Linked DNA regions of Oryctolagus cuniculus. The protein of the gene in region 1 interacts with the protein of each later gene in a biochemical or structural test. Links are inferred from orthologs where the notes say so. Each region holds a gene or a part of one and is shown in the gene's direction. Other genes may lie near its edges. The genes, in order: CASP3, PANX1, granzyme B, GSN, HCLS1, BIRC2 and PARP1.

Region 1 (3,500 bases):
CCCTCCAATGGCCGCCGCGGCCGGCACGCTGTGGCTGGCACACCGCGCTGATCCGATGGCAGGAGCCAGGTGCTTCTCCTGGTCTCCCATGGGGTGCAGGGCCCAAGCACTTGGGCCATCCTCCACTGCACTCCCTGGCCTCAGCAGAGAGCTGGCCTGGAAGAGGGGCAACCGGGACAGAATCCGGTGCCCCGACCTGTACTAGAACCCGGTGTGCCGGCGCCGCTAGGTGGAGGATTAGCCTAGTGAGCTGTGGTGCCGGCCTCCAGTAGTAGTATTCTGTACCACCCTGGAAATTATAAACTTGTTTAGTAATGCTAAACAATAGCATTATAGCAGTTCCATTAATTAGTTTAAAGATGCAGCAATGTTTGTTTAGCAAAGGTAGAACTTGAACTTTTGAAATGCAGTCCCATTTTAAAGCGTTTTTCTTATCTAGTTGTCATTAAATCTTTTTAAAGTGATCCACACTCTTCCTGTTTTTCATGTCATGACATCATTTAAATGGCAAGTGCATAGGACCGCTGACAGTTTTGCGTTGTTCTGATGCTATGGTAAGCCGCCTGCACATTCCCAGGCCCTTTGAGTCTGCTACTGGTAGAGTCCCGACCTCAGGAGATGGGCGTTAATAATTCAGTGATCCATTCTCTGCATGACCTGAGGGTCAAATCACTGGGCTTTCAGAGTTTTCATATTCAGGGCTGTTCATCTCTACCTGACTGATAGTAAATTTTTACTGCTTTTAACCTTTTTCCAACAACATGTTTAGAACTATGCATACAGCAGCCCCATCTCTGTAGGATATGTTCCAAAACCCACAGAGAATCTGAAAGTGCAGATGGTACCAGACCCTGTGTGTCCTGTGTCTTTCCCTCTGCCTAAGCACCTCTGATAAAGTATAGGTTATTAATGAAGCACAGCTAGAGATGAACAGCTGTCGAGAAAACAGAACAGTTATAACAATGTACCTTAATAAAACTTGCTTAAACATTATAAGTTATTTCTGGAATTTTCCATCTAAAATGTTCAGAAGATGGTTGACCATGGTTAACCACAAAAAGGCAGAAGCTTGGATGAGGGGGGACGAGTGTAGTGTGAACTAGTCTTAAGATTCAGTGCATGAGTCTGGCTCTTCCCAGGCCTGCTGTTTCCTGATTCTTGGTGCAGATCAGTGGCTAGGACTCTGGAATATCCTTGGGGTGTGTTTCTGTCAGTTTTCTTGGGACATAACTACATCTGTGCCCTCTCATACTCTCCTGGCGGATTTCTGCAGCTACTGAGTAGGCACAGCAGAGACCTGACGGCCCACATCGCAAACACCAACTGTTTGGCCCTTTAAGAAAAAGTTTATTCATTCCTGGTCCAGGTAGCAGAGGTTTTTCAGCATAGTGACTTCCAGACAAGAATGTTACGTTAGGGCTCCTATGTGTTAGTAAATTCTGTGTATTAATAAGATACTAATTTGTTCAGCTCATAGTGTCTAAGAAATAACTGAGGAATTATAATAATTGTGCTTTGAGTCATATTTACAATTTGTTGGTTTCTGTCATTTCAAGGTAACTTAAGATTTTACTCTTGAGTCCGGCGCCATAGCTCAATAGCTAATCCTCTGCCTGCGGCACCAGCACACCGGGTTCTAGTCCTGGTCGGAGCACTGGATTCTGTCCCGGTTGCCCCTCTTCCAGGTCAGCTCTCTGCTGTGGCCAGGGAGTGCAGTGGAGGATGGCCCAAGTGCTTGGGCCCTGCACCCCATGGGAGACCAGGAGAAGCACCTGGCTCCTGGCTTCAGATCAGTGTGGTGCGCCGGCCGCGGCGGCCATTGGAGGGTGAACCAACGGAAAAGGAAGACCTTTCTCTCTGTCTGTCTCTCTCACTGTCCACTCTGCCTGTCAAAAAAAAAAAAAAGATTTTACTCTTGAAGGATAAAATATTTGGCAAAGTTTCAAGAAATTTTTTAAATTATAGAATGTGCTTGGTACCATTTTGTTAAAATTTAAAGGGAACATAAAACATACGAAAAGCCTGAACTCTGAAGTCCAGTGATGGTTCCTTTTCTGCAGACTGCGACACAGTCTCCGCACAGCCTCGTGCACACTGCTTAGCCTCACAGCAGGTAATTTCCTCATCTGTAAAATGGGTTGTTGTGAAATGTAGGTGAGGAAAAGCCTGCAACACAAAATGTGATTTGTAATATGCAACAAGTGTTAGCTGTTCTTCTGAGTTATGAAAGCTGTACTAATGTGAACAGAAGGATCGGGCATTTCCACCTGTGTAAACTGTTGTTTCATTTCCAAACAGAAAAATCATACATGGAAGCAAATCAATGGACTCTGGAATATCCTTGGACAATAGTTACAAAATGGATTATCCTGAAATGGGTTTATGCATAATCATTAACAACAAGAACTTTCATAAAAACACTGGTATGTATCTTATATAATTTTTAGTCCCCTAATAGTACATTTTAGAATGTTGTTAGAGAATATAGAAAATAAAATTCCTCAGAGTCCCAAAAAGCCAATTAGCATTTTGATGTATTACTTAATATTTTTTCTTGACAGTTTTTCTGAAAACCATGATTTTATTCATAACAAGCAAGCAATGTACCCTGGTTGTTACACTTAATGTAATACAAGTTTTTTTTAATGTTGCTGTGTAATTTTTATTTTTTTTTTAAGATTTATGTATTCATTTGAAAGTGTGACAGAGAGAGAGAGAAAGAATCTTTCATCCACTGGTTCACTCCCTAAATGGTGGCAAAAGACAGGAGCCTGGAATTACCTCCAGGTCTCCCTCATGTGTGGTAAGGGCTCAAGCACTGTCCATCTTCTGCTGCCTTCCCAAGTGCATTAGCAGAGAACCAAATCAGAAGTGGAGCATCTGGGACTCGAACTGGTGCTCACATGGAACGCCAGTGTCACAGGTGGTAGCTTAACCCACTGCGCCACAACACCAGCCCCATATGTTATTTTAATAGTTACAGAATACCACATCCCCTAAACATAACTATACTAATAGTATAGTATTATACTATATACTATAAATATATACTATAAGTGAATAACTTACCACAGAGAAGAGCATTTTGGCTGTTTCCCTGTTTTTCATGTTTTAAATTGATGCTGTGATAATTCCTCAAATTGTCTTATTAACCAACTTAGAATTAATTTTTAAGTTAGACCAACTACATGTAGTGAATCTAATTTAGGAAAAAATTTATGAGAGTGATAAAAAAAAAAAAGTGACAAGCCAGACTACACTGGAAAGATAGGGTTTGGTGCTGAAGAGCAGGTGAAATTTGGTCTCCAAATCCAACAGCACCATTTTTATTGCTTTGGGTTGTATGCTATCAACTTCAATTATTAAATAAAAGACAAAACTTTCTTTTTGCTCTGTTTTTTAAAAAAAATGTACTTACATTCTGCTTCATATTGCCAGTCACAAAGCCTTCCTGCTGTAGAACTTTGCACCTTACCCCGGAGAACCTCTTCTTAAAGCAC
Region 2 (4,100 bases), on another chromosome or scaffold:
GCATATTTAACAAAGGGACCTAACCTAGTTTGTCTACTCCAAGGTTTCCCTGGCAGAGTGACATAGAGTCAATGACAGGAGAGTCAATGAGAGTTGGTCAGGCACAGGCCACTGTGGGGTGTTTTGGGCAGGGGAAAGGGCCTGGCTGATCTGAGGAACTGAAGGGGGTTAGCAGGGATGGTGTCAAGGTCAGCAGTGGCCATGTTAATAAATATGGGTTTTATTCTAAAAGCGATGTACACTTTAAGTACGGAGTATGATGACTAGACTGGAGCTTTTAAAAACTCTCTCCCCGTAGCCGTGGGACAGAGCAGCTTGGGGGGCCCTGGGAGGACGTTTCTGAGTGGGCTTAGGGGACAGGACGGGGAGCTGAATCCGGGTGTTGGCAGTGCTGTCAGATTTGCTGGCTGTCAGACGGGGAAGCAGGAGAATGTGGGCACAGGTCTGGCGGCTGGGAGCGGTGGAAATGTTAACCACAGCTCTAGGACTCTGGCTTGAGCGCCTGGGCTGGGGTTGGGGAGTGGGGGTTGTGGTGCCTTCAGTGAGATGGGGAAGTAGAGTTCAAGTTGAAGGGGAAGATGAGGAGTGACACCTCGGCCATTGGGAGTTTGGAGTCCCACAGGACGCTCCATCGGAGTGGAGAGTTATGCAGACCCCTGGCTGTCTGTGTAGAGGATGATCCGGGGCCATGAGCTGAGGCTTCCTCATGGCCTGGCGCTTGCAAAGAGCAGAGACGCCAGCCAAGCCCGGCCGCAGGCAGCCCTCACGTTTGAAGGTCCTGCCTGCTCCAGGGGTTGCTGTTGGGAGCATTTCCTCCTGCCTTTCTCATCCTCCGCTTCCTAGGAGAGGTGTAGGGGCTGCCCTCTGCGGCTCCCCCGCAGCAGGCACCCCACGACCAGCTCCAGAGCAAGGCTGACTGGAGAGGCAGGAGAAAGGGACGCGGGGGGCCACGCAGCGCTAATGGAGGCCCAAGACCCCAGCACGCGCAGCGCTCTCCGCGGAGCTCCGAGAAAGGTCTGCGCGGCCCGAACGGCCTTGCGAGGCACCCGTTCTTTGAAACTTCTTAGCTCCTGTTAACCCGATCTCTCGGTGTAGACACGTTGTGCGTGGGCCGCAAGAAGAGTCCACAGGGGAAAGGCCATTTACAGAGACGGTTTTAAAAATCCCGGGCCCTGGGGGGATGGGAGGGAAACGAGGATGCAACGGCCCCGCAAATTCCCATAGATGCCCCTGGCTGGGAAGCTCTTTCCTTGGGCGGGCACGAGGGGCGCGGGTGCACCCCGCCCCGCGTCAGCGCCGCTTCCGGAAACTCCACGCCCCTTGCTACTCGGTTTCCCCGGTGGTTCCGGAAGAGCGCGGAGGGCTGGGACGGCGTGCAGCGGCCGGGGGCGCGCGCAGGGGACTGGGCACAGGGAAGCGCTTTGTTCCTGGTTGTTGCTGGCGCCTACGGGCTCGCAGCGGAGGCGTGGAGCCCGGGTTTGGGGCGTCCCCGGGGGATCTGCCGGGGCTGAGCGCGCGGGGCGGAGCCGCTGGGCCCCAAGCGCCTGGGTCGAGCTTGGCCGGCGTTCCAGGCAGGAGCTGGAGAGCTCGTGCGCCCGCGCGTTGGGAGCCGAGTGGAGGCCGCTGGGGGCCCGACGGCCCTAGACGCAAAAGGCGGCAAGGATGAGGGAGCAGCTGCGGGGCGCACGGCGAAGGGAAAGCGAAACCCGCGCGCCCGGCCGGTGACAGCGTGAAGGCGCCGCGCCGCCCTCCCGACGCCGGCGGCACCCGGTCCTGCCCGGCTGAGCCCCGCGCCCCGCAGCCATGGCCATCGCCCACCTGGCCACGGAATACGTGTTCTCGGACTTCTTGCTGAAGGAGCCCGCCGAGCCCAAGTTCAAGGGGCTGCGGCTCGAGCTGGCCGTGGACAAGATGGTCACCTGCATCGCCGTGGGGCTGCCACTGTTGCTCATTTCTCTGGCCTTCGCCCAGGAGATCTCCATCGGTAAGATATGGGGGCCGGAGGGGCTGGGCCAGCCTTATTGCGAGCTGCGGGCTCCGGGGAGGTGGGATTTTCCGGGGGCGCAGGCCTGGGACTCGCCCAGATTTGGGGTCCGAAGCGGTTTGAACCCTTGTCAACCATGCTCACATCCCTCACTCCTCAGTTCTTTTGTTCCCTGCGCCTGAATGATCAGACTGTGGCTTAATAGTTCGTGTTCCGTTTGCTTGACGGATTTACCACCAGATTTGCCAAGAACCAGCGTCTCCCCCCCACGTTTTTACTTCCCCACCCCAGTCCCCGTGTTTGTAAAGTCACCTAAAATTTTGTGCCAGAGAAGTTACTGGGTAGCTGAAGGCAGAGAGGCAGAGGTGGTGACGACAGGTGCTCCATGAAACTCGTGGCCTCCCTCACTCCCTTACATTTCATTGATACTCCCTGAGACTTGAACTGTGGAGTGACAGAAAGCGGCTGCCTTTGGACAGCAGTATTATGAATACGAGATGTGCAGGTCCCCCTCATGTACGTTTAGATTGCATCATAGTACCAGATTGGCAACCCTGGTGGTTTGGGAAGGGTCACGTGGCTAAGTGGCTCCTGTTCCTCAACAGCTGTTGAGACTTAGGGCGCAGGAGAGAGTGTTAATGACTCAACGGGAAAGTGCTGAAGTCTGTTCTGTAGTGGGGGAGACCAGGGGCCCTGGACCTTGGGGAGGGCTATGTCAGAGGGTGGGCGGGAGTTGCAGGAGCACAGGTGAAACCTTGGCTGAGATTTTGAGATGGCTGAGGGCATTCACGTTCCTGTAAGGGGAGACACAGTGGCTGTCCTAGCCGAGGCAGGAAGGTTAGTAAAGGTTCCTGGATGAGTTAGGACACAAGAGTGAGCCCTGATGGACTCAGGCAGGTGAAGTGATTTGAACAGACAGACTGGTAGAAAGCAGCAGTCAGTAGTCAATAGCCTGGTTGTGGCAAGCAGGGTCTGCATGGGAAGCAGCGGAGAGGATGGAGCGAGGGGACCTGGAGGCCATGGGGTGGGAATCCATTGAGGTCTTGTACATGGTGGTGCAAAGAGTGATGGGAAGGGATGGTGATTTCTGACAGATCAAGGAACAATAAGAAGCACTTGGGTACCTGAGTTTTTATTTTTTCCATTTATTTGAAAGGCAGGGAGACAGGGAGAAAGAGATCTTCCACCTGCCGGTTCATTCCCCGAAATGCCCGCAATAGCTGGGGCTGGTCCAGGCCAAAGCCCGGAACCCAGAACTCAATCCAAGTCTCCCATGTGCATGGCAGGGACCCAAGTACTTGAGCCATCATCACTGCTTCCCAGGGTATGCTTTACTCAGAAGTTGAATCAAAAGCAGAGGCAGGACTCACAGCAGGATGCGGTTTAGGTATAGGATGCTGGCGTCCCAAGCAGTGTCTTAAACGCCTGCCCAGGCTGCCTGGATTTTAATAGGCCCATCATGGGCAGAAACTGGTTAAACTTGTTGCGAAGGTTGTAGGCTTGATTGATTGGAGGATGATGATTGTGTTGATGGAAATAGTGGCATTGAAGGAAGCTTTGGTTAGAAAAGGGTGATGATGGGGGCCGGCGCTGTGGTGCAACGGGTTAACACCCTGGTCTGAAGCGCTGGCATCCCGTATGGGCCAGTTCTAGTCCCGGCTGCTCCTCTTCTGATCCAGCTCTCTGCTGTGGCCTGGGATAGCAGTAGAAGATGGCCCAAGTCCTTTGACCCCTGAACCTGCGTGGGGGACCTGGAGGAGGTTCCTGGCTCCTGGCTTCAGATCGGCGCAGCTCCAGCTGTTGCGGCCATCTGGGGAGTGAACCATCGGATGAAAGTCCTCTCTCTCTCTCTCTCTCTCTCTCTCTCTCTGGTTCTCCTCTCTTTGTGTAACTCTGACTTTTGAATAAATAAATAAATCTTTAAAAGAAAAAAAAGGGTGATGATGAATTTGACCTTATGGTGTGCAGTACTGTTGTTCCTTTTGTCAGGAAGTGGCCAAATTCATTGTGGAAAATAAAGTTTCAGTTCTGCTGATCTTTGGGCAGGTGTGGTCAGCAGGGTTTCTCTTTTGCTTTCCAGATGGCAGGAGGTTGAGTCTTCCAGCTGGAAGGAAAA
Region 3 (4,009 bases), on another chromosome or scaffold:
GCAGATGGAAGACCTTTCTCTCTCTCCCTCTCTCTGTCTATAACTCTACTCTCAGATAAATAAAATCTTAAAAAATAAATAAATAAAAATGAATCTGACAAATTATAGGATAGATCACTTATGTTTCTATACACCAGCAATGAACAATCCAAAAAGGAAATTAAGAAAATAGCTCCATTTATGAGAGCACCTAAAAATAACAAAATACCTAGAATTAAATTAATGCAAAAACAGAAACTTGAGCCTTCAGAATCCAACCATTTAGAGATACTCGGTTGTTGCTATCACAGAAGTGGTCCTGGTCTACCTAGACACAACGTCCCACTTTCAGTGTAGTGAGAACATCAGCATAGTTTGTTTAGCAAACATTTACGGTGAACTGAACATGTGCTGGGCCTATGCTGTAAGTGTGACCCTCTGCACAGAAGACTGAGAACCCTAAAAAGACAATGGCTGACCTTTGTCTAGCATGCTTTCTGACTTGACATGGCATCAGTGATTTAGGAACCTGAGCATCCTTTGGGGAACCGTCTCTTTCTACCAGTTCATGTAGTCTGTGAGACTGGCCCCAAACTAACCTAAGATGTAGGAATGACCTAGGCTTATGAAATCAATGGATTTAATTCCTAGAATCACAGTAATTTGTTCATTTGGGTCAATCCACACCAACTGCAGGACTTTTGTTTTAAAAAAAAAGGTGGGGAGGGGAGAGGGGCATTTGTAATTAAGCATGATGTTTAAAAATCTCTCAGTAAAGACACTGCCACAATGAATGGGTCACTAGGTGGGCTCAGTAGATGGTGACCATGGTTTATCTCTGCCTTGTGTATCACTCTGTTGGCCTTGCAAAACTCTATTCCAGTCATTGGTGTTTCTGTCTCTTCCACCAGATGACCAGCTCTCTGTGGAAGGGAGGAGACATACCTCCAACATGCTCGGTCCTAACACAAAAGAAGGACCCAAACATTCATCTGCTGAAGGAATTGTCCTGATGGACTCAGGTGTCTGGGGCCTCCCACAGTCCTCACTTGTACCCTGGGGTTCCTGCTCTGGGCTGGGACAGGTGGTGGTTCGCTGTGAGTCAGCAGCTGTGGGTACCGATGCGGTCACTGCACGATTCTCACACAACCTCCTAGAAGACGTCATCAGGCTCAGGCAGTGGGGGTGGGGCGCTTTCATAGAAAGCTATCCACAAAGAAGTACCGGAAAACATGAGGTCACTGAGCCCACCCTGTCTCCTCTCTCCGCCCCCACCCCGGGAACTAAAAGAGAGTAAGGAGGAAGCATCAGCAGCTCCAAGCTGCGCAGTCTTTCCTGGGAAGATGCAGCCACTTCTGCTCCTGTTGGCCTTCTTCCTGCCCCCCTGGGCAGAGGCAGGTGAGTGCCCACCCCCGCCTCAGAGGCCTGACCCCACTCCACGGTAGGCACAGACCCCCTGCCCCCTCCTCACAACCTGACACGTCTTCTACCAGCAGCATTCTGAAGCCCCACTCCAGTGCCATACAGAACTCCAGGTACGAGGCTGGGTAACGGTCAGCCAGAAGGCTGTTCTCAACAAGGGCCAGGAGCTGCTATTTCCTCCTCTACACCCCTCCCCACTGACTGGAAAGCAAGACTTTCCTAGAAATGCATGACAGATGGGAAAAGAGAAAACATTAATTCTCCTGAAGAAGGTAGAGAGGACCTAGCTTCTGAGTCTGGGATGAGACAGCTGCTCCCTTCCCCATCTGCTTAGCAGAGACGCCCAAGGTCAGCTGACCCCAGAGTCGTAATCATTGCCCTAAGAACTCAGCCTGCCCAGGGGCAAGGCCCAGGTGAAGCCAGGGCAGGTGTGCCAAGTGGCTGGCTGGGGACAGGATGCCACAGGCACTTTAGCCTTTCCTCAGTCCCTGTCTCCAGCTCTGTTTTCTTCCCAGGCCTGTGGTGGCTCCCCTCCTTGCAGGGTTGAGCCACTGTGGAAGACCCGAACTTCTCTGCTTCCCAGAATCCTACCGGCACTGCCCTCCTAGCCCTCATCGACAGGTTAACACGGGCCACTGCTCCACGCAGCCAGTGAGCACTTACTGATGTCAGGCCTTAGGAGACAGGCTGTAACAATGTCTAGGTCCCTAAATTCAGCTCCTGGCCTGAGAAAGCACAACCATCCTAGACATCACAGGATGCATCAGGGTCTCAGAAGCTCACTGGAAACAAAGAGCTGGAGAGGAACCAGGAGGCACCTCTGGGTGTCACTGTCCCTAAGACAGGTATGCTCACCTCCGATGAAGTATTCAAGAAAGATTCATAGACCAAGAACTCTTTTCCTTCCCCTCTTCAGAGAAGGAGGATGAGGGTCCTTCCCCAATGCCCCTCTCACCTCAATGTCATTCCAGGCTCCCAGATGCCCAGCAGTATTGGAGCCATCAAGAAAATGCCCGCCCCCCCTGGGTGCACATGAGCAGGCAGACTTTTCCTGCAGGGGAGATCATCGGGGGACATGAGGCCAAACCTCACTCCCGCCCCTACATGGCCTATCTTCAGTACTGGAAAGATGGTATGAAGAGGACATGCGGAGGTTTCCTGGTACGAGAGGACTTTGTGCTGACAGCTGCTCACTGCCACGGAAGGTGAGGAACAGCACACAGCCCACTCCCCACCCCAAACCAGGAAAAGCTGCACAGAGACTCCCAGGGCTCGCAGGAACACGTGTGCAGGGGGCTCCTAAGAGGGTGAGAAAGAGGACAGGAGAGTCTTGTGGCAAAAGGCAGGTTGGTGCCAGAGGCCTTGCTCAAGTGGGGAAGAGCAGAGGGATCAACTCTGCCGTACTGAGAGCTAGGAGCTTGCTTTGGCATCAGAATGCAAAATGAAGAAACCCCGTGTGTTTTCCTGTGAGTAAGTGACCCCTGAGAACCAACAGCTACAACATTCCACCTCCACTGTTGAGAAGCGGAGGGCACAGACAGCTCAGCCCCAGGGGCCCCTGGTTTCCTGGATTCCCCCTCACCTGCAGCCCTACCCTGCCCCAGTTGTCAGCTGGTCCTCACAGCTCCTGGGCTGTCTCCCCTGTGCGTCCACGCCTCCCCATCCCCACTCTGCTCCCTGTGCAGCTCAATAAATGTCACCCTGGGGGCCCACAACATCAAGCAGCAGGAGAGGACGCAGCAGGTCATCCCCGTGAGAAGAGCCATCCCCCACAAGGACTACAACCCCGAGGACATCTCTAGAGACATCATGTTACTGCAGGTAGGGCACTCCCTGCTGCTTTTTTTCACCTTGGTCTGGTCGTTGTGCCTCCCACTGTGAGGCTGCTCCTTCCCTCCGTTCCATCCTGGCCACTTGGCCTGTTCCAGTGCTTCAAAGAGGGAAGACGGGGCAGCCCCATCATGGTATCCAGGTCCAGATGGCCACTGGCTGAGATGGACTATCTTGCCTCTTCTCAACAGCTGGAGAGAAAGGCCAAGCGGACTGCAGCTGTGCAGCCCATCAGCCTGCCCACAGGCAAAGCCCGGGTGAAGCCAGGGCAGGTGTGCCAAGTGGCCGGCTGGGGTTGTATCAACCCAAATGGCAGATACTCAGACACACTTCAGGAGGTGAAGCTGGCAGTGCAGGAGGACCAGCAATGCGAATCCCTCTTTGAAATGTATCAAAAAGACATTGAGATGTGCGTGGGGGACCCAAAGACCAAAAAATCTTCCTTTAAGGTGAGATTGAGCAGTCACCTGGTTTGCCTCTAGGGAGGGAGATGTTTGGGGGAAGATTTGGAACCTGGAGACCCAATCAGTGGGGGGCTCCCTCACCTACCAGCAGAAGCTTAGAGGGGAGCAGCCATAGCTGCCAAGTAACAAAGACCTCAGCAGCTACAAAGGGGAGTCTGTTGATTGCTGCTCCTCTGGAAGGATGGGTTTGCACATTTCTAAATGTGCAGAAATTGTAACAGGGGGGCTTCCTCAGAGCCGCCACCCACCACAGGATCTCGGCCCCCTGGTCTGCCTTCAGGTCTTTAAATAGTGGCCTGGAACTCCCTGAAGGA
Region 4 (4,199 bases), on another chromosome or scaffold:
CCGGGGTGGGTGACCGGGCTGTGTGTGCGGTGCAGGGAGAGGAGCTCCCACCAGCCTCGCAGCCAGGCCATCCAGGCCGATTTAATCCTTGGTCCCCATTTATGCGCATTTAGTAGACGAGACCTGCAGAAAGAAAGAAACTTAGGTACAGCGGAGGTGGGTACCCATCCCAGGTCTCCAACCGTCTCTTTCTGTTTCCTGTCACCGCACCAGGTTGCAGGAGGGAGGGGACTATTTGGAATGCAAAGAACACTTAGATTGGGAGCAGGTGGGTCTGGCCGAGGGGTGGGGAGTGGGATGGGGGGAACTGGGAAATACACCAAGGGGAGCCGGAAGGGTGCTTCTCCTAAGCCAGTGTGCCTCTAGTATGAGTGTGTGTGTGTGTGTGTGTGTGTGTGTGTGTCCTAACCCAGTGACCATGCCTCCAGTGGTGTGTATGTGTGTCCTAACCCAGTGACCATGCCTCTAGCGGTGAGGGGAAGGGGAGAAGAGACACAATCCTGGCTTCCCCAGGAGGGCTCCGTAGAGGGTGCCTAAAATGGATAAAACCCTTCTAGAAGCATGAGGGCCTGTTATCTGGACACGAGAAGGCGAGCCCTGCCTGCTTAGGAGGCAGATGGGGAGGCCGGTGCCCCTGGGGAGGGGCAGCGTTGTACAAAGTTGGGACCTTATGTTTTGCTCAGAAGAAAAAAACAAAAATGTTTCAACGTTTATTTAAAAAAACAAAAATGTTTTTGAAAAGCAGGAAAGAAAGGCCACCTTGAGTAAAGTAGAACCAGCAATCCCAGGGCTTCAGAGTCTGGCCCGCCCCTCTCTGAGCCCTGCCTGCCTCTCCTGGCACGGCTGCCCCAGCTGGTGGCCCTGGCAGGCTGCCCGGGACTGGTTCTACCCAGCCCCAGACCCAGTCACATTGTGACAGCACTGCTTGTAAGCAAGTTGCTTACCCACTGCACTCTCAGTCTGCCCCTCTATGAAATGGGCTGTCAGCAGCACACACTCTGTAAAGGATGTCCTGGTGTGTCGGTTTGCTATGTGTTCCTTCGATGTCAGCTTTCTGCTGGAAATACCAGGAGCAGAGCAGGAAGAGGGCTTGCTGAGGTCACTCGGGAGAAAAAGACTGAGCTGTGCTCCCCACAATTCCTTGGTGTGCCCATTTAGCATGCACTTAGTTAGCATCTGCTGTATGCCAAGCTCTGTGCTAAGTTTCCGCCCCGCAGCTGGGGTGCAGGGGCGGCCGCGCCCAGTCGGGTCGGATTCAGTGGGAACCCAGATGTCTCCAAGATCCCTGACAGATCCCCGCCCCGGGGGCCCGCTGGGGGCCCAGCCCTGCCCCGCGCCCTCCCTGCGGGGCGGTCCGGGCTTGGGCGGGATGGGCGGGCGGCTACTTAAGGGCTGCGATCCCAGGGCCGGGGCTGCGGGTCCTCTGCTGTCGCCGCCGCCATGGCTCCGCACCGCTCCGCGCGCGCGCTGCTCGGCGCGCTGGTCCTGGCGCTGTGCGCCCTGTCGCCGCCGGCCCTCGCGGCCACCGCATCGCAGAGGGTGGCTCCGGCACGGACGCCCCAGGCGCGGGTGAGTGCCCCGGGGGGCCCGGGGCTCCCGGAGTAACTCTCTATTGTAAGTTCTTGCAGATACAGCGCTAGGAAAAGGGGAGTAATTCAGGTCTAGAATGGAAAAACTGTTTTGTTGCTTTGTAAGTATCTCTTGCTGCTCCAGGGCTCGGCGGAGGGCGGGAGCCTGGGGGCCCTGGCTGCGTCCCTACGCGAAGGCTAACCTCACCTTGGCCGGAATTCTCCTCCCTCCCACCTTCTGATTTCTTACCCATCTCTGCCACCTGATTTCTCCTTTCCTTGCCTAAGGTCTCCTTCCCACTGCCTGTCTTCTTCCATCTCCCCCTCCTCTGATGGCTCCCGCCCTCCCCGGCATCTCCCTCTGTCTTATGTGTCCTTTGGACCATCACAGGTTCTCACCTCCCTGCAGTCTCCCTTGCTCTGTTGAGTTTCTCCTCTCCCAGTGCTGTTCCACCCCCTGCCTGAGTGCCTCTCTCTGTCTCATTCCTCTCACTTCTCACGTTTTGTTGCCCCCAGATCTCCCCGGCCGAGGTGACCCATGCCTGCTGACTGCCACCCCCAGCTCCTGCCTAACCCCGCCGGCCGCCGTCTCTAGCCCCCCCTCCCCACCCTGCATGTCTCACAGCCTCTGCCCTTCCTTGGGTACCTCGCCTTCAGCAGGCTCCTGCAGACCCCCGGGGGGATGTCAAAAAATGGAATTTGGGGGTGGGGTGTTGGGGGGCAGGAGGGAGGAGGCAGACAGCGCAGGAGGCCACTTGGGCTCAGCCGTTCAGACCCTTCCTGGGGGGTGTGAAGGGGATGGAGGGGGCACAGGAAATTGTCCCACGTGGGACAGAGGCACACAGGCTGCAGACGTTGAGCTGTCCCCTCCCCTCTTTGGGCCTCTGTGTGCCTATTTGCACAGTAGGGGTGGATAAGGAGCACTCTGAGAGCCCTTTAATCTTAAGAGCCGTGGAGGGTGCTGGAAGGGAGCAAGCTAAGCCCCTGGGGACCCTTGGGTTTACCATTGCCATTTGGGGCGGGGGGCTACCCAACAGCCCGGAGCGTGGAGAAGTCCTTGCTCTGCTGTCACCTGGCTTGGGGTCCCTGTCACAGTCCCTGCTCCTGCCTGCACCTCAGTTAACATGGCCAGTGACAGTACCAAGGGGAGGGAGAGGGAGGTAGATCCCTCTGTCCTGTCCCCCGGGAGCTGAGTGGGAGGGCCAGGAGCTTGCAAGGCACAGGGTCTGGAGCCGAACCACTGGCCCTGTTCGCTAGCTCACCAGGACAGAGGCTCCTAGGAGGCAGACTCCCCTCGGGTGTGGAAAGAGCAGTGGCTCAAGTCGGACGCTCTTGGTGCTGGAACCAGCCTCCCTCGCGCCCGGGGTCTGTCCCTGCCGAGCCGAGCCGCGGGCCCCTGCTCAGGCACTGCCTGTCTCTCTCCAGCCCAGCAGCATGGTGGTGGAACACCCCGAGTTCCTCAAGGCAGGGAAGCAGCCTGGCCTGCAGATCTGGCGCGTGGAGAAGTTCGACCTGGTGCCTGTGCCGCCCAACCTCTATGGAGACTTCTTCATGGGCGATGCCTACGTCATCCTGAAGACGGTGCAGCTACGCAATGGGAACCTGCAGTACGACCTCCACTACTGGCTGGGTGAGGCTGCCCACCCATCCAGCCCCTGCCCAGCCCCTGGCAGGGCAGCTGGCTGTGGTCTGGAGCTTGCTGCTTTTTACTTAATGTGGAAGGCAGAGAGAGACACCCAGAGACAGACAAAGAGCTTGTCTATCAGTTGGTTCATTCTCCAGATGTCCACAACGGCTGGGACTGGGCCAGGCTGCAGCCAGGAGCACGGAACTCCATCCGGGTCTCCCACATGGTTGATAGGCCCCCGAGTACCCGAGGCATCACTGCTGCCTCCCAGGGTGCACGGTAGCAGGAAGCTAGAGCCAGAAGCAGAGCCAGGACTTGAACTCAGCACTCTGCTATGGCGTGTGGGCCTCCCAACTGGCATCTTAATTGCTGTGCCAAAAGCTCGCCCCTGATTATCATCAAGCAGACCCCTCCGTGGCTCCCGTCACCCCCAAGTTTGTCCTTCAGAGTCAGGGGCTCTGCTGTGGGGTGCTTTGAGCCCTGTCACCTGGCCGAGCCTCAGTTTCCTAATCCATACTTGAGTTCGTGCTCAGGAGAGCTGAACAGGAGTGCAGAGCAATGTATCAGAGCTAGGATGACCCTTAGAGAAAAATGGGGTCCAGGTACACTTCCTCCCTCCCCTGTACCCATTATATGGAGGGGTTAACCGAGGCTCACAAGAGGCAGGGGCTTGCTGGGCTTTCCCAGCTAGCCCAGGGCAGTGCTGGAGCTTCCTCCCTGGGTGGGATGGGGGGTGCCGGGACCCCTTTCAGGAAGCCTGGCTCATGCTGCCCTGCGTCGCCTAGGCAACGAGTGCAGCCAGGACGAGAGTGGGGCGGCCGCCATCTTCACCGTGCAGCTGGATGACTACCTGAACGGCCGGGCTGTGCAGCACCGTGAGACCCAGGGCTTCGAGTCGGCCACCTTCCTTGGCTACTTCAAGTCCGGCCTCAAGTACAAGGTGCGTGGGCCCCTACTTTGCTGGGGATGGGTGCGCTGACAGCAGGGCTCACTCAGGTGCACCT
Region 5 (4,137 bases), on another chromosome or scaffold:
TCAATCCCTCATTCGGAATGAACTTGGAATATTTGCTAAGAAGAGGTGGAGTTTCTTGGTGTCATCTCTGATAATTTCCATGGTTTCTCTAGCAAATTATGTACCTGGATGATGTCAGTATCTGGTCTGATAATTCCTATTTTTATCATTTTAGATTCCAAATGATCTGAAAGATTTTTTTCTCCTCCTACAAATTTATTCTCCTTTAGCATAACTTTGGTGCCACCATGATAAATAGATAATGAACTAGAAGAGATAGGTCCTTACTCTAACTTTTGATAGATCCATACTTAGGTCTTTAGATTTGGAAGTGACCTTTGACCAATTTTATCCAGTCCTGCTTGAACCCCTTGTGGATCTCATGACTTACACAAGCAAATCAGTTCCAAACTCTGCAGACATGATTAGGTGAGGCTAGATCAGATACAACAAGAAACACCCAAATTCTTGGTAGCTGAAACCAAAGACTATTTTTTAGTTAAAGGCTCCAAGTCCCTTATGTGATAGATGGGGCTGTACTCGTGTTGTCATTGTCGCTCAGGAAACTTAGGCTAGCAGAGAAGCTACACTGGAGAATTACAAGTTGTTTCAGTGTGCAGTAAGCGAAAGAGATGGCAAAGCTTGCAATGGGCTTCAGGTCTCCACCAAAAAGGGGGTATTTCCCTGGCCAGTACCTGTCACCTGTGCACATTTGTCGAGGGATGGGAGGACAGCCAGTCTTGACAAATATTAAGACAGGACATGGCCGATACCTTCCATCCACTGATGGCACCTGCTGCTTTCAGAATTCTCCATACTATCTGGAGCCAAATCTTCACCTGTGAGCTCAGATGCCACACTGTCCCCAACATGAACATTTCCTCCTCCACGCCTTGCCCTTTCCCTCCTGACTTGTCCCCTTCTGCCATTCAGGTGAGTGATGTTTATTTGAGCATCTACTATATGCAAACCCTACTTTTGAGTGCTGTGGGTCATGCAGAAGTTGTTCTTAGAGCTTACCCTTCAAAATCCACAGTCACTTTTCCCTTCCAGCCTTTCTTGGTTACCACAGCCCCTCCCAGAAGCTCCGGATGCCTTTACTGTCACAGATGGAACTGACCAGCTATTTAGGTCACAAGTGCTGTTCTCCAGCATTGTCTGATGGGTTTCTGAGTGAAGCTTTCTCTGACTGCTTGATAAAGTCTGAAAGTTGGAGCAACATTCTCCGTGCCGATCCCACAATCCTCAGAAGCTTACAAAAGAAGAGACAGAGAAACATTTAATCCTCTTTTATTTAAGTGGTTAAAGCAGAAGGAACTGACTCCAACTTCAGGAAGTAGCTGTGAGGACAGTGTGGCAGGAAATGACAGAAAACCTGAAGACGGAACTGAAGCAGCAGCTCGGTTTCTCGCTCAGAAGTGGCAGCAACCAGACAGGGAGTGTGGTGTGGACGTGAGGAGCCTGGAGCTTAGAGAAGACACCCTCGCTAGTGAAGGTGGGTACTCTGAGCCATGGGAGAGCTGGGAGCACAGGGTGGGGGTTGAGGAGGAAACCACCTGAGTGTTAGTCCCCAGGGAGGGACTAGGTCACTGCCAGTAGGCGTTTAACCTTTTATGGTCAGAAGGCCTGAGGCTGGGTAGGGGGTGGGGAAGGGTTGTAGAGAACAAGCAGCTGGGGATTGGAACAGAAGGGCTCAAGCCCTGGAAACGTGACTTAGTGGCCATCTGGCCATCTCTAGTCCACCGTGAGGCCTGATGCCAAGTTGGGAGGAGGGGTACAGGCTGTAAAGACCGTGTCTGCCCTTGAAAACACGGTCCGGCAAAGAGACAAAACCCACAGGAAGCAGTTGCTCATGCACACTTGCGCTGAGAACCAGCTGCTGATGGAGGCCTGAGGAAGGCGTGATGGTTGGATTGGGGTATTTCCTGTGCTTATAGGATCATCGAGGCCCAGAATGTCAGAGATGGAGTCGGTTTTCTAGACTAGCTAAGTTAACCCCTACTTTTGCTTTCTGTTGAGGAAGTCAGAGATAATAGGTGGTTTGCCAAATCATTTAAATGAACATTTGTGAACCATCTTGTCTGTTGCTTGGCAAATGAGAACATCCTCTGTGTTGATTCCTTTACCATGGCCCCACAGAGGCTCCAACACAGAGCTGGGCTGCTCACGGGTCTCCTGGCTCCTAGGTCATGTACTGCCATGTCAGCATTGAGCTGAGGTCCTGGATGTGCCCGACCTCCTGGGGCCATGCCTCTCCACATCACCCTCTAGTCTCCTGCCCCCAGAGAGCACCCTTTGCCTTCCCAACTTCTCGTCAGTAGGTCAGTTGTTCTGTGTCAGCAACTCTTTATGCCACAAGTAGACAGACACAGATGGGAAGTTTGTTGGCAAGTCGCGCTGAGGCTGGGAAGAAAGGCAGGAAAGTCGAAGGAGCCATCGGTCCTCATTGCTTCCTTATTGCTCGCGACTATTTCAGAAACTTCTCCTTTCCTATTTTGTAGTGAAGGCCTTTTGTTGCAGAGCAGCCCAGGAGCCAGTGTGGGAAGCAGAGGGCTTGTAAAGGATGCAGGAGGATAGGGCTTGTTTATCTGCCCCCTTTATGTAACTTTGCCCTCCCAGGGAAGACCAAGCCGCTCTGGGCAGTGGCTCACCCCGTGGTAAGGCCGCCTCGGTCAATACTTCCCCAGTGCCCCTGGAGCATCTCAGTAACCAAAATCTACCAGAGACTTCCCCGGGGCTGGTTTTCAGGGTTGTTCAAAGACTATGGAAAAGGATGGACTTTTCAAGTAGAAGAGAAAACTAGAGAATGCAAGGGCCAAGGTGGAGAGACAGGAGAGCCCCAGGAGGGGTGGCAAATGGGGGTCCTTGCAGGGACCTTGAAGAGCTTGGGGGAAGGGCTCTGGGAAGGGGGACATGGGTAGGGAAGTTTCCAGATAGTAGGCGGTGCCTGAGTCCAGTAGTCTCAGTGGCCCTGGGAAACATGAGTGGTCCATTGGCACCTTTTCCTACCAAGCCCAGAGCAGCTGTTCTACTGCTTCTCTCGCACAGTTAGCAAGGCTCACTGGTACACTGGGGATGCCCCAACAGAATACGATTTGGAACCCCTTCAGACCAGTACTCCGTAAATTTTTTAAACATTCATTTTGTTGCTAATAATCCAATGCCTCCTAATGGTCAAAATAAAGGATGTATTATTTGTAAAATACATGATATGCTTTGAACCATTTATGTTTTTAGAATTGTAATCAACTTTTTATTTTTTTTTAAAGCCAGTCCATAGAGGGCCTCAGAGCTGCTGCTGTGTTTTGTAAATTTTTATTTTCATCTACTTGAAAGGCAAAGTGACAGAGACAGAGATAAGGTCGGGGTCGGGGAGAGAGAGATCAATTTTCCATCCACTGGTTCACTCTCCAAGTGCACCAGCCAGGTTGAAGCCAGCAGCCCAGAACCTCTTCCAGGTCTCTCACTTGGATGGTAGCATTTGAGCCATCATGTGCTGCCCACTAGGATGTATTAGTAGGAAGCTGGTTTGGAAGCAGAGTAGCGGGACTTGCACTGGCACTCCAGTATGGGATGTGGGTGTTGAACAAGGCTGCTTAAAGCAATACACTGTAACTCCCACCCCTGACAGCTTTTAAAAGTTGGGTAATGAGTAACTTATTCCCAGCAGCTAATGCTTCCCTGCATGTTGTTGGATGTGAGCATTTCAGCTGACTGTCCCCATTGACCTCCCAAGCTGTGCGGTGACCAGTCTCAAGAGAGAACGTGGGGCTGGTGCCGCAGCTCACTAGGCTAATCATCTGCCTTGCGGCGCCGGCACACCGGGTTCTAGTCCCGGTTGGGGCGCCGGATTCTGTCCCGGTTGCCCCTCTTCCAGGCCAGCTCTCTGCTGTGGCCAGGGAGTGCAGTGGAGGATGGCCCAAGTGCTTGGGCCCCGCACCCACATGGGAGACCAGGATAAGTACCTGGCTCCTGCCTTCGGATCAGCGCAGTGCACCGGCCGCAGCGTGCCGGCCGTGGCGGCCATTGGAGGGTGAACCAATGGCAAAGGAAGACCTTTCTCTCTCTCTCTCACTGTCCACTCTGCCTGACCAAAAAAAAAAAAAAAAAAGAGAACGTGGGACAGCACTTGGACTGAGGCTGGAAAAAATCTCAATA
Region 6 (3,500 bases), on another chromosome or scaffold:
ATAAATAAAAGTTGAAACAATATTTTTCATCTTATGTTTTAGGTGTGAATTCTTGATACGCATGAAAGGGCAGGAGTTTGTTGATGAGATTCAAGCTAGATTTCCTCATCTTCTTGAACAGGTAAATATACTTTTTAAAAGTTAACAATATTGGATTCTACTGTATGATAATTTGACAGCCAGGCCAAAGCCAAGAACCAGGAACTTATGTGTGGGTGGCAGAGGCCCAACCACTTGGGCCATTTTCTGCTTTCCCATGTATTAGCAGGGAGCTGGATTAGAAATGGGGCAGCCAGGACTCAAATCGGTGCTCATATCAGATGCCAGCATTGCAGATGGTGGCTTAACTTGCTGTATCAAAATACTTTAATTTTTACTTTTGTATCCAATGTATTTGGTGAGGGCTTTCAAAAAAGATTCTTTTGAAAAAAATATCTTGTCACTGTACACATTTATGGTAGGGTTGGAGAAGGATCTTTCATCCTTTTACAGAAATTAACTTATTAGCAATTGAGACCTCTTGAGAGTAACCCATTCAAATGGAGTAAGAAACCATTTATATATTTTCCTACTTTGTTGAAATGGAAGATAATACCTGAATTCTAGTTTGGAAGTAGGGTAAGTTTAAGGAAACCTGTCCTATAGTTAGGATAAAACAAAGCAAAGTGAAGTGTATAAATTACCCAGTTTCGAGTATGTACAATTACTTAGGGTAAACTTAGTGTTCCTCTTTTCAGATTGAGATTTCTGATTTTACCTATTAGCTTTTCTTGTTTTATAGTTGTTGTCAACTTCAGACCCCCCTGGAGAAGAAAATGCTGATCCACCAAGTAAGTGTGAAATATTATTATTAGTGTAGAATGGGAATGTATATAATAATGTGAGGAATGAAAATATATTCTTAAAAAAAGAGATTCTGAAGTTACAGAGAAAAATACTGGGAAGTTAACTGGTAAACCTTAGGTACATACAAAGATTAATGGTATTTTGGGGATTCTAGAAAGTTTATATAGTTTAGTGCTGACATCTCAACAGGGGAGAAAAGACAGATGCAAAAGAAAAACAAATAGCTCAAAGCAATGTCAATAAGAATTGAAAATAATAAGCCCTCCTAAAGAGGAAAAGGTTGCTGTGAGCCAGCATGGTTTGGAAAAAGCCTGGTTCACATGATTTAAGAAGTGGCTTATATATTAGATATTTAGGTCAGGTATATAGTATTTCAATAATCTCTTTTGATTAGAATTTAGTTTTAGCCTATTGGTCTATTAGTTGATGTTCAGAATGTACATTTGAGGGTGGCTCACAAAGTTTCTGGAAAATGTAATTAAGAGATAATTTTACCGCAAAAGAAAAATGGAAACCTTTGCTTACAGAAGTCTTAAACTATCATAGAAAATGCATATTGTGAAACTGCAGATACAGTTGAGTTCTTTGTCCTTTTTAGGACTCCTTCTTTAGCTTCTCAGATGCCCCCAGACAATTGGTATTCTCCCATTTTCCTTTGCTCACTGCTCCTTTTTCAAACTTCAGTGGTCATTGCAAATTTATTTCTTCATTTCCCAAGACCCAGGCTGGAATGTCCAGCTCTCTGTTTAATTCTGTCTTTGGCTATGATAGAATTCTGAGTTAATAGGACCAAAACAAAATTTTCTCCTAATCCTTTATTCCTCAAGTTTGCTTCTCCTTGGGCTTCTCCATTTCAGTTAATGATACTCATTTGCTAAGATAAAAAAGATGCATCATCTCAGATTCCTCTCCTTTCTTTAGTCTGTATATGAGCAATTTTTTTTTTCTGCCTTCATAACACATCCCTCTCACTATTTCTCACCATCACCACTATCACCGTATTCAGATTGCCATCATCTTTTGTCATAGTAATAGGTTTCCCGGATGCCACTTTTACCTGATTTAAAGTCCATTTCCACAGAGCTGCTAGAGTTATCTTTTGAAAATACAAGTCACATTTTATCAGAGCTATGTTAAAAGCCTCCTAGACTATTCTAGCAAACTTAGAATAAAATATGAACACTTTGTAAAGCTCTCCATCTGGACGTTGTCCTCCCTTCCGTCCTTCTACCACCTTCCTTCTCTTCCTTGAACACGTGAAGGTTTTCCCTTGTTTTATGGCTTTTATACTTGTTATTCTCTTGCCTGCAAGACGTCTCATATATTTCCACAGCTTACTCTTTATTACTGTTTTAAATCTCTGGGTGTTCTCTTCCTCTCTCTTCTTTTTTTAAAGATTTTATTTTTATTTGAGAGTTACAGAGAGGAAGAGGCCGGCACTGTGGCTCACTAGGCTAATCCTCCGCGTGCAGCGCTGGTACTCTGGGTTCTGTCCCAGTTGCTCCTCTTCCAGTCCAGCTCTCTGCTGTGGCCCGGGAGTGCAGTGGAGGATGGCCCAGGTGCTTGGGCCCTGCACCCACATGGGAGACCTGGAGGAAGCACCCGGCTCCTGGCTACAGATCGGCGCAGTGTGCCGGCCGTAGCAACCATTTTGGGGGGTGAACCAACAGAAGGAAGACCTTTCTCTCTGTCTCTCTCTCTCACTGTCTAACTTTGCCTGTCAAAAAAAAAAAAAAGAAGAGGAAGAGACAGATCTTCCATCTGCTGGTTCACTCCTCAGATGGCTGCAACTGGCTGAAGCTAGGAGCCTAGAGCTTCTTCCAGGTCTCACAAGTCGGTAGAGGGGCTCATGAACTTGAGTCATCCTCCGTTGCTTTTCCCAGGTGAATTAGCAGGGAGCTGGATTGGAAGTGGAGTTGCTGGAACTCTAACCAGCACCCACATGGATGCTGGCTCACAGGCTGCAGCTTTACTCGCTATACCACAATTCTGGCCCCACTGAGTGTTCTCTTCAGACAGGGAGTCCACATAATGTCTTGGCAGTGTCGCACATAGCACTCATGTTGTTTTTTATTAATGTTTGTTATAACAACTTTCCAGCAGATGGCACTAAAGTGTCTTGAAGAATTAGGTCCACAGTTTTCACAAAACTGCCATATAGGCTAGCTTTGATGCTGTTATCAGAAAATGCTTCCCTGACCATTCTTATTTAAAATGCCCTCCAGGCTCTGAGTTTCTTGAATTAGTTTTTACTTTGGAGAGCACATGTCTCCATCTAAAACTATGGTTGTTTAACCATAGTTTTCACTGCACATTTAGATATGTTACAGGTGTAATACTCTTCCATTTTCTGTACTTCCCATTTTTATTTTCTCTGTCTCAGCTATCCACCCAACTAGGCCCTGTCCAGGCTTCAAATCCAAGCTCCAGTGTTACCTTTTCCATGAAGTCATTTTTATTTCCCCTGTCTTCCTAGCTGGAGACAATTTATAAATTCTAAGTTTGTACATGTTGCTGGTTTTCAAAAATGATTATCCATCAGAATCATTTGGGGAATTTAAAAAATTTAAAGATTCCTAAGCCTTATCCCTAAAGAGTTTGTTAATAAGTAGGTCTAAGATGTATCTTGGGAACTGATATTTTTAAAAAGTGTA
Region 7 (3,500 bases), on another chromosome or scaffold:
AGAGTTCCCAGTTCCTGCCTGTGGCCTGGCCTAGCTCCAGCTGTTGCGGACAGTTGGGGAACAAACCACCGAATAAGAGACTCGCCTCCCTCTCGTGGAAAAAATAAATGAGTGGGGCCGGGGAGGTGGTTATAGGCTCCAGCAGTGGTTCCCTGGCCAGATCATCAACTGTCATTTTGTTTTTCATTTTCTTAAAGGAAAAGACTCTTCTTTTAACATAGCTGCAGTGCCAATTTGATCATAAAATGGAAATACTGGCCATAAGTACCATGGTGGCAGAACTGCCATCCTTCATCCTAGAAGCCTCCCATTTTCCTATTCTACATTCTTTATTAGAAAAAGAGATCTTTGAATTTGCACCAGCCAGATCTCTTTTGGCCTGTTAGGTGGTCGTTTATAGAGGGAACTAGTTTCTTAAAAACTAAAACTTAAATTCTTCAGGAATTCCGGGAAATCTCTTACCTCAAGAAATTGAAGATCAAAAAGCAGGACCGCATATTCCCCCCAGAGAGCAGCGCCCCGGCAGCAGCGGCACCCCCTCCCTCCACAGCCTCGGCCCCCGCTTCTGTGACTCCCTCCGCTCCAGCAGGTACACCTCCAGGGGCTGGGCGCCCCGACCTCTGAGCCCTGATTCTACAGTGACCTGAGAGCAGCCGCCTGGGGTCTCTGCCTGTCCTCTGGGAAGCCCCACCTGCCTGGGTTAGGGCTCTTCCCTTGCCCTGACGCATCTGGAGGGCGGAACCCAGGGAGCAGGCATTAAGGACAAATGCTTTCTTACTCTGGAAGCTAGGCAGGGCTTCTTAGGACAGACCAGCCAGCAGCCTAACCTGGAGTGGCATTCAGGATGTCCTGCCTGACCACACAGAGCCTCCTTGCAGGGCTCCTGCTTTCCCGAGGCTCAACCGCTCTGCCCCCACCAGGTGTGCCTGGTGAGACGCTTGGGTCTGTGTTATGTGCAGGGCCAGGGAGGAGCACCCTAAGCAGCAAGCACAACCCTATCAGCGAGTGTTCGGGCAGAGGAGACCCTCTGCTCCTTTACTTGGAGACACGTGGACAGTGTAAGGTGAAGGCCACAGTTTGGTGGGTGGAGGACAAGGTTCCGTCCCTGAGCATGAACCCCTTAGAGGCCTCCTTCCTGCCCCCTGGAGGGCACCTGTGGTCACTGCAGGGCACATGCATGGTTACCCTGGATCCAAATGCAGGTGTCCCTCCTCAGCTTTCCTCTCACTTGCCAGTTCACACCCAACCCACTGGTTTTGTTCTCTGGAGACTTTGCCAGTTTTCCTTTAAATGACTCGGCCTTCCCAGAATGAGCAGGTGGGACTTCTCCCTGCAGCTCCTCCGGGTCTGAAAATGTCACCAGCACTACATTATTTAGAGCAGGCAGAAGGCACTTTCCATCCTAGGCTTTCCAGCTTGGCCGGCGCTGGGCACTGCAAATGCAAGGCTGCTGCTTTTTAATAAGAACTGCAGTTTGTTTGGAGACATGAAGTGGGAGGAGGAGAGCAGAAGGGTTTGGAAGTTCATGTGACCTGCCCTTCTCCCCCTCCGCTGCAGCCTCCTGGTCCCGTGGCCCGTGTTGCAGCCTTCCGAGTCTGTGGAGCAGACCCAGGGCGGCCCACAGCTGCCCTGTTCATAGAATGGCCTCTCATAGTCCACCCTTGCCCGGTCCTGCCTGTGTCAAGGGTCATGTGTAGGTCATTGGGCAGCAGGACGCTGTTCTGTGCTCTGCTTCCCTGCTTGTCCTTTGCCTCTATGTTCACAGCCTTTTCCTGAAGGAGAAGCGGGTGAAAGAGGGGTGCCGGGGCCATCAGGGACACTGCAGTCTGCCCTGGCTTTGCCCTGGGAGCTCGCTGCTTCATGTTCTGCTCCTCGTCCACCACATCCTGGGGAGCAGTGCCAGGGTTGGCCATGCTTCATGATGCTCCTCTCCCTCCCCAGATAAGCCACTGTCCAACATGAAGATCCTGACCCTTGGGAAACTGTCCCGGAACAAGGACGAAGTGAAGGCCGCCGTCGAGAAACTCGGGGGGAAGGTGACGGGGACAGCCAGCAAGGCCTCGCTGTGCATCAGCACCCAGAGTGAGTCTCATCTTGCTTGTCAGGCAGGGGTGGGGATGGCGCGGCTGTGCCTTGGAATCGTGAGGGGCGTTCATGGAGGAAAGATGCGTCTCACCCTTGGTCAGGCCCCTTGTGAAGGGAAGCCAGTGTTCCGCATGCTGCCACAGCAAGAGTTTGCGGCTCAGTGTGTTTGGGAGGCACAGGGTTGCTCTGTCGCCACCCTGTGAGGTGCCCACTGCTGGTCCCCAGGGCCAGGGAAACAGTGCTCAGCCTTCACATCGGTGTTTCATGTCAGGGTCATTTTCCCTCTGGAGTGCGTGCCTGTCGATCTCTCGTTCCATAGGCCGGTTTGGAGACAGGTGCCCTGGCTCATGGATGTGGGGGGGGGAGGGCCGGTTTGGAGACAGGTGCCCTGGCTCATGGATGTGGGGGGAAGGGGGACAGTGAATGATGAGGGTTGCAAGTCCCCGGGAGTTTACCCCTGTTTGAAGTTTTAAACTTTCTGTGTAGTTTTGCATGCACACACGCACTCACCCCCTTTCAATTTGAACAGAGGAAGTGGAAAAGATGAATAAGAAAATGGAGGAAGTCAGAGAAGCCAACGTCCGCGTCGTGGCTGAGGACTTCCTCCAGGATGTCTCCAGCTCCGCCAAGAGCCTGCAGGAGTTGCTCTCAGCGCACATCTTATCCCCCTGGGGGGCCGAGGTGAAGGCAGAGCCTGTTGAAGCAGTGGCCCCAAAACCAAAGTCAGGGGCTGCTGTCGCCAAGAAGAGCAAGGGACCAGTGGAGGAAGGTGAGGGCCTCCAGCTGCCCCTTTCTGGGCCGGGAGCCAAGAGGGTCCACAGCCCTGCCCTGGCCTACCCCAGTTCAGGGGCCTATCCCAGGCCAGCTAGGTTGGCTTACATGGAGCCTCCCTGTGTTTCCTGCACCGCTTTCTGAAATCAGTTCTCACTGGGCCAGGGCAGCCGGCTCTCGAGGTGGTGGGAGGCAGTACATTAATGCCTTGCTGGCAGGCCGTGTGCATGAAAGCTACTCAGTTGTCTTCTGCCTTTAGAAAAATGTTCACATTTCTGTGTCCCACTCCAAGGTATGAACAAATCTGAAAAGAGGATGAAATTAACTCTCAAAGGAGGTGCAGCCGTCGATCCTGATTCTGGTAAGCAGACAGGGATGTGAGCAGAGGGGAGGTGGGGCCTCGGACCTGAGGATACGGGCGTCTCTTGAGGCACCTCGCAAAGATGTTGTTCATGTGTCCAACCAGGCATAAACCCCTAGACCAGCAGACCCCCTCTCCCTGAGAGCACTGGCCCCCAGGGACGAGAGGACAAGAGAAAACTAGGAGCTTTCCCCCGGGGCAGGTCTGGAGCACTCGGCACACGTCCTGGAGAAAGGCGGGAAGGTGTTCAGCGCCACCCTTGGCCTGGTGGACATCGTTAAGG

What was found.
Region 2: of the proteins of CASP3 (region 1) and PANX1, one has a biochemical effect on the other in vitro, tested with the Homo sapiens proteins (2 studies listed by IntAct). The link is inferred for Oryctolagus cuniculus from reciprocal best matches to the Homo sapiens genes CASP3 and PANX1.
Region 3: of the proteins of CASP3 (region 1) and granzyme B, one has a biochemical effect on the other in vitro, tested with the Homo sapiens proteins (2 studies listed by BioGRID). The link is inferred for Oryctolagus cuniculus from reciprocal best matches to the Homo sapiens genes CASP3 and GZMB.
Region 4: of the proteins of CASP3 (region 1) and GSN, one has a biochemical effect on the other in vitro, tested with the Homo sapiens proteins (2 studies listed by BioGRID). The link is inferred for Oryctolagus cuniculus from reciprocal best matches to the Homo sapiens genes CASP3 and GSN.
Region 5: of the proteins of CASP3 (region 1) and HCLS1, one has a biochemical effect on the other in vitro, tested with the Homo sapiens proteins (2 studies listed by BioGRID). The link is inferred for Oryctolagus cuniculus from reciprocal best matches to the Homo sapiens genes CASP3 and HCLS1.
Region 6: the proteins of CASP3 (region 1) and BIRC2 form a complex in vitro, tested with the Homo sapiens proteins (3 studies listed by BioGRID, with this or other methods). The link is inferred for Oryctolagus cuniculus from reciprocal best matches to the Homo sapiens genes CASP3 and BIRC2.
Region 7: of the proteins of CASP3 (region 1) and PARP1, one has a biochemical effect on the other in vitro, tested with the Homo sapiens proteins (9 studies listed by BioGRID and IntAct). The link is inferred for Oryctolagus cuniculus from reciprocal best matches to the Homo sapiens genes CASP3 and PARP1.

What each region holds. Positions count from the first base shown.
Region 1 is NC_091433.1:66,406,520-66,410,019, reverse strand, and holds part of CASP3 (caspase-3), read left to right. Parts: intron 1-2,298; coding exon 2,299-2,423; intron 2,424-3,500. UniProt on the Homo sapiens protein: Thiol protease that acts as a major effector caspase involved in the execution phase of apoptosis. Following cleavage and activation by initiator caspases (CASP8, CASP9 and/or CASP10), mediates execution of apoptosis by catalyzing cleavage of many proteins.
Region 2 is NC_091432.1:85,311,893-85,315,992, forward strand, and holds the start of PANX1 (pannexin-1), read left to right. Parts: upstream 1-1,300; 5' UTR 1,301-1,803; coding exon 1,804-1,984; intron 1,985-4,100. UniProt on the Homo sapiens protein: Ion channel involved in a variety of physiological functions such as blood pressure regulation, apoptotic cell clearance and oogenesis.
Region 3 is NC_091443.1:50,647,812-50,651,820, forward strand, and holds the start of granzyme B, read left to right. Parts: upstream 1-1,209; 5' UTR 1,210-1,211; coding exon 1,212-1,377; intron 1,378-2,458; coding exon 2,459-2,606; intron 2,607-3,086; coding exon 3,087-3,222; intron 3,223-3,422; coding exon 3,423-3,680; intron 3,681-4,009. UniProt on the Homo sapiens protein: Abundant protease in the cytosolic granules of cytotoxic T-cells and NK-cells which activates caspase-independent pyroptosis when delivered into the target cell through the immunological synapse. It cleaves after Asp.
Region 4 is NC_091432.1:225,292,520-225,296,718, forward strand, and holds the start of GSN (gelsolin), read left to right. Parts: upstream 1-1,399; 5' UTR 1,400-1,440; coding exon 1,441-1,569; intron 1,570-1,619; exon of another isoform or gene 1,620-1,666; coding exon of another isoform or gene 1,667-1,690; intron 1,691-2,993; coding exon 2,994-3,198; intron 3,199-3,980; coding exon 3,981-4,135; intron 4,136-4,199. UniProt on the Homo sapiens protein: Calcium-regulated, actin-modulating protein that binds to the plus (or barbed) ends of actin monomers or filaments, preventing monomer exchange (end-blocking or capping).
Region 5 is NC_091435.1:77,952,740-77,956,876, reverse strand, and holds the start of HCLS1 (hematopoietic lineage cell-specific protein), read left to right. Parts: upstream 1-1,337; 5' UTR 1,338-1,474; intron 1,475-4,137. UniProt on the Homo sapiens protein: Substrate of the antigen receptor-coupled tyrosine kinase. Plays a role in antigen receptor signaling for both clonal expansion and deletion in lymphoid cells. May also be involved in the regulation of gene expression.
Region 6 is NC_091432.1:94,082,147-94,085,646, forward strand, and holds part of BIRC2 (baculoviral IAP repeat-containing protein 2), read left to right. Parts: intron 1-42; coding exon 43-121; intron 122-781; coding exon 782-830; intron 831-3,500. UniProt on the Homo sapiens protein: Multi-functional protein which regulates not only caspases and apoptosis, but also modulates inflammatory signaling and immunity, mitogenic kinase signaling, and cell proliferation, as well as cell invasion and metastasis.
Region 7 is NC_091444.1:39,045,832-39,049,331, forward strand, and holds part of PARP1 (poly [ADP-ribose] polymerase 1), read left to right. Parts: intron 1-441; coding exon 442-589; intron 590-1,941; coding exon 1,942-2,082; intron 2,083-2,614; coding exon 2,615-2,854; intron 2,855-3,148; coding exon 3,149-3,217; intron 3,218-3,419; coding exon 3,420-3,500. UniProt on the Homo sapiens protein: Poly-ADP-ribosyltransferase that mediates poly-ADP-ribosylation of proteins and plays a key role in DNA repair.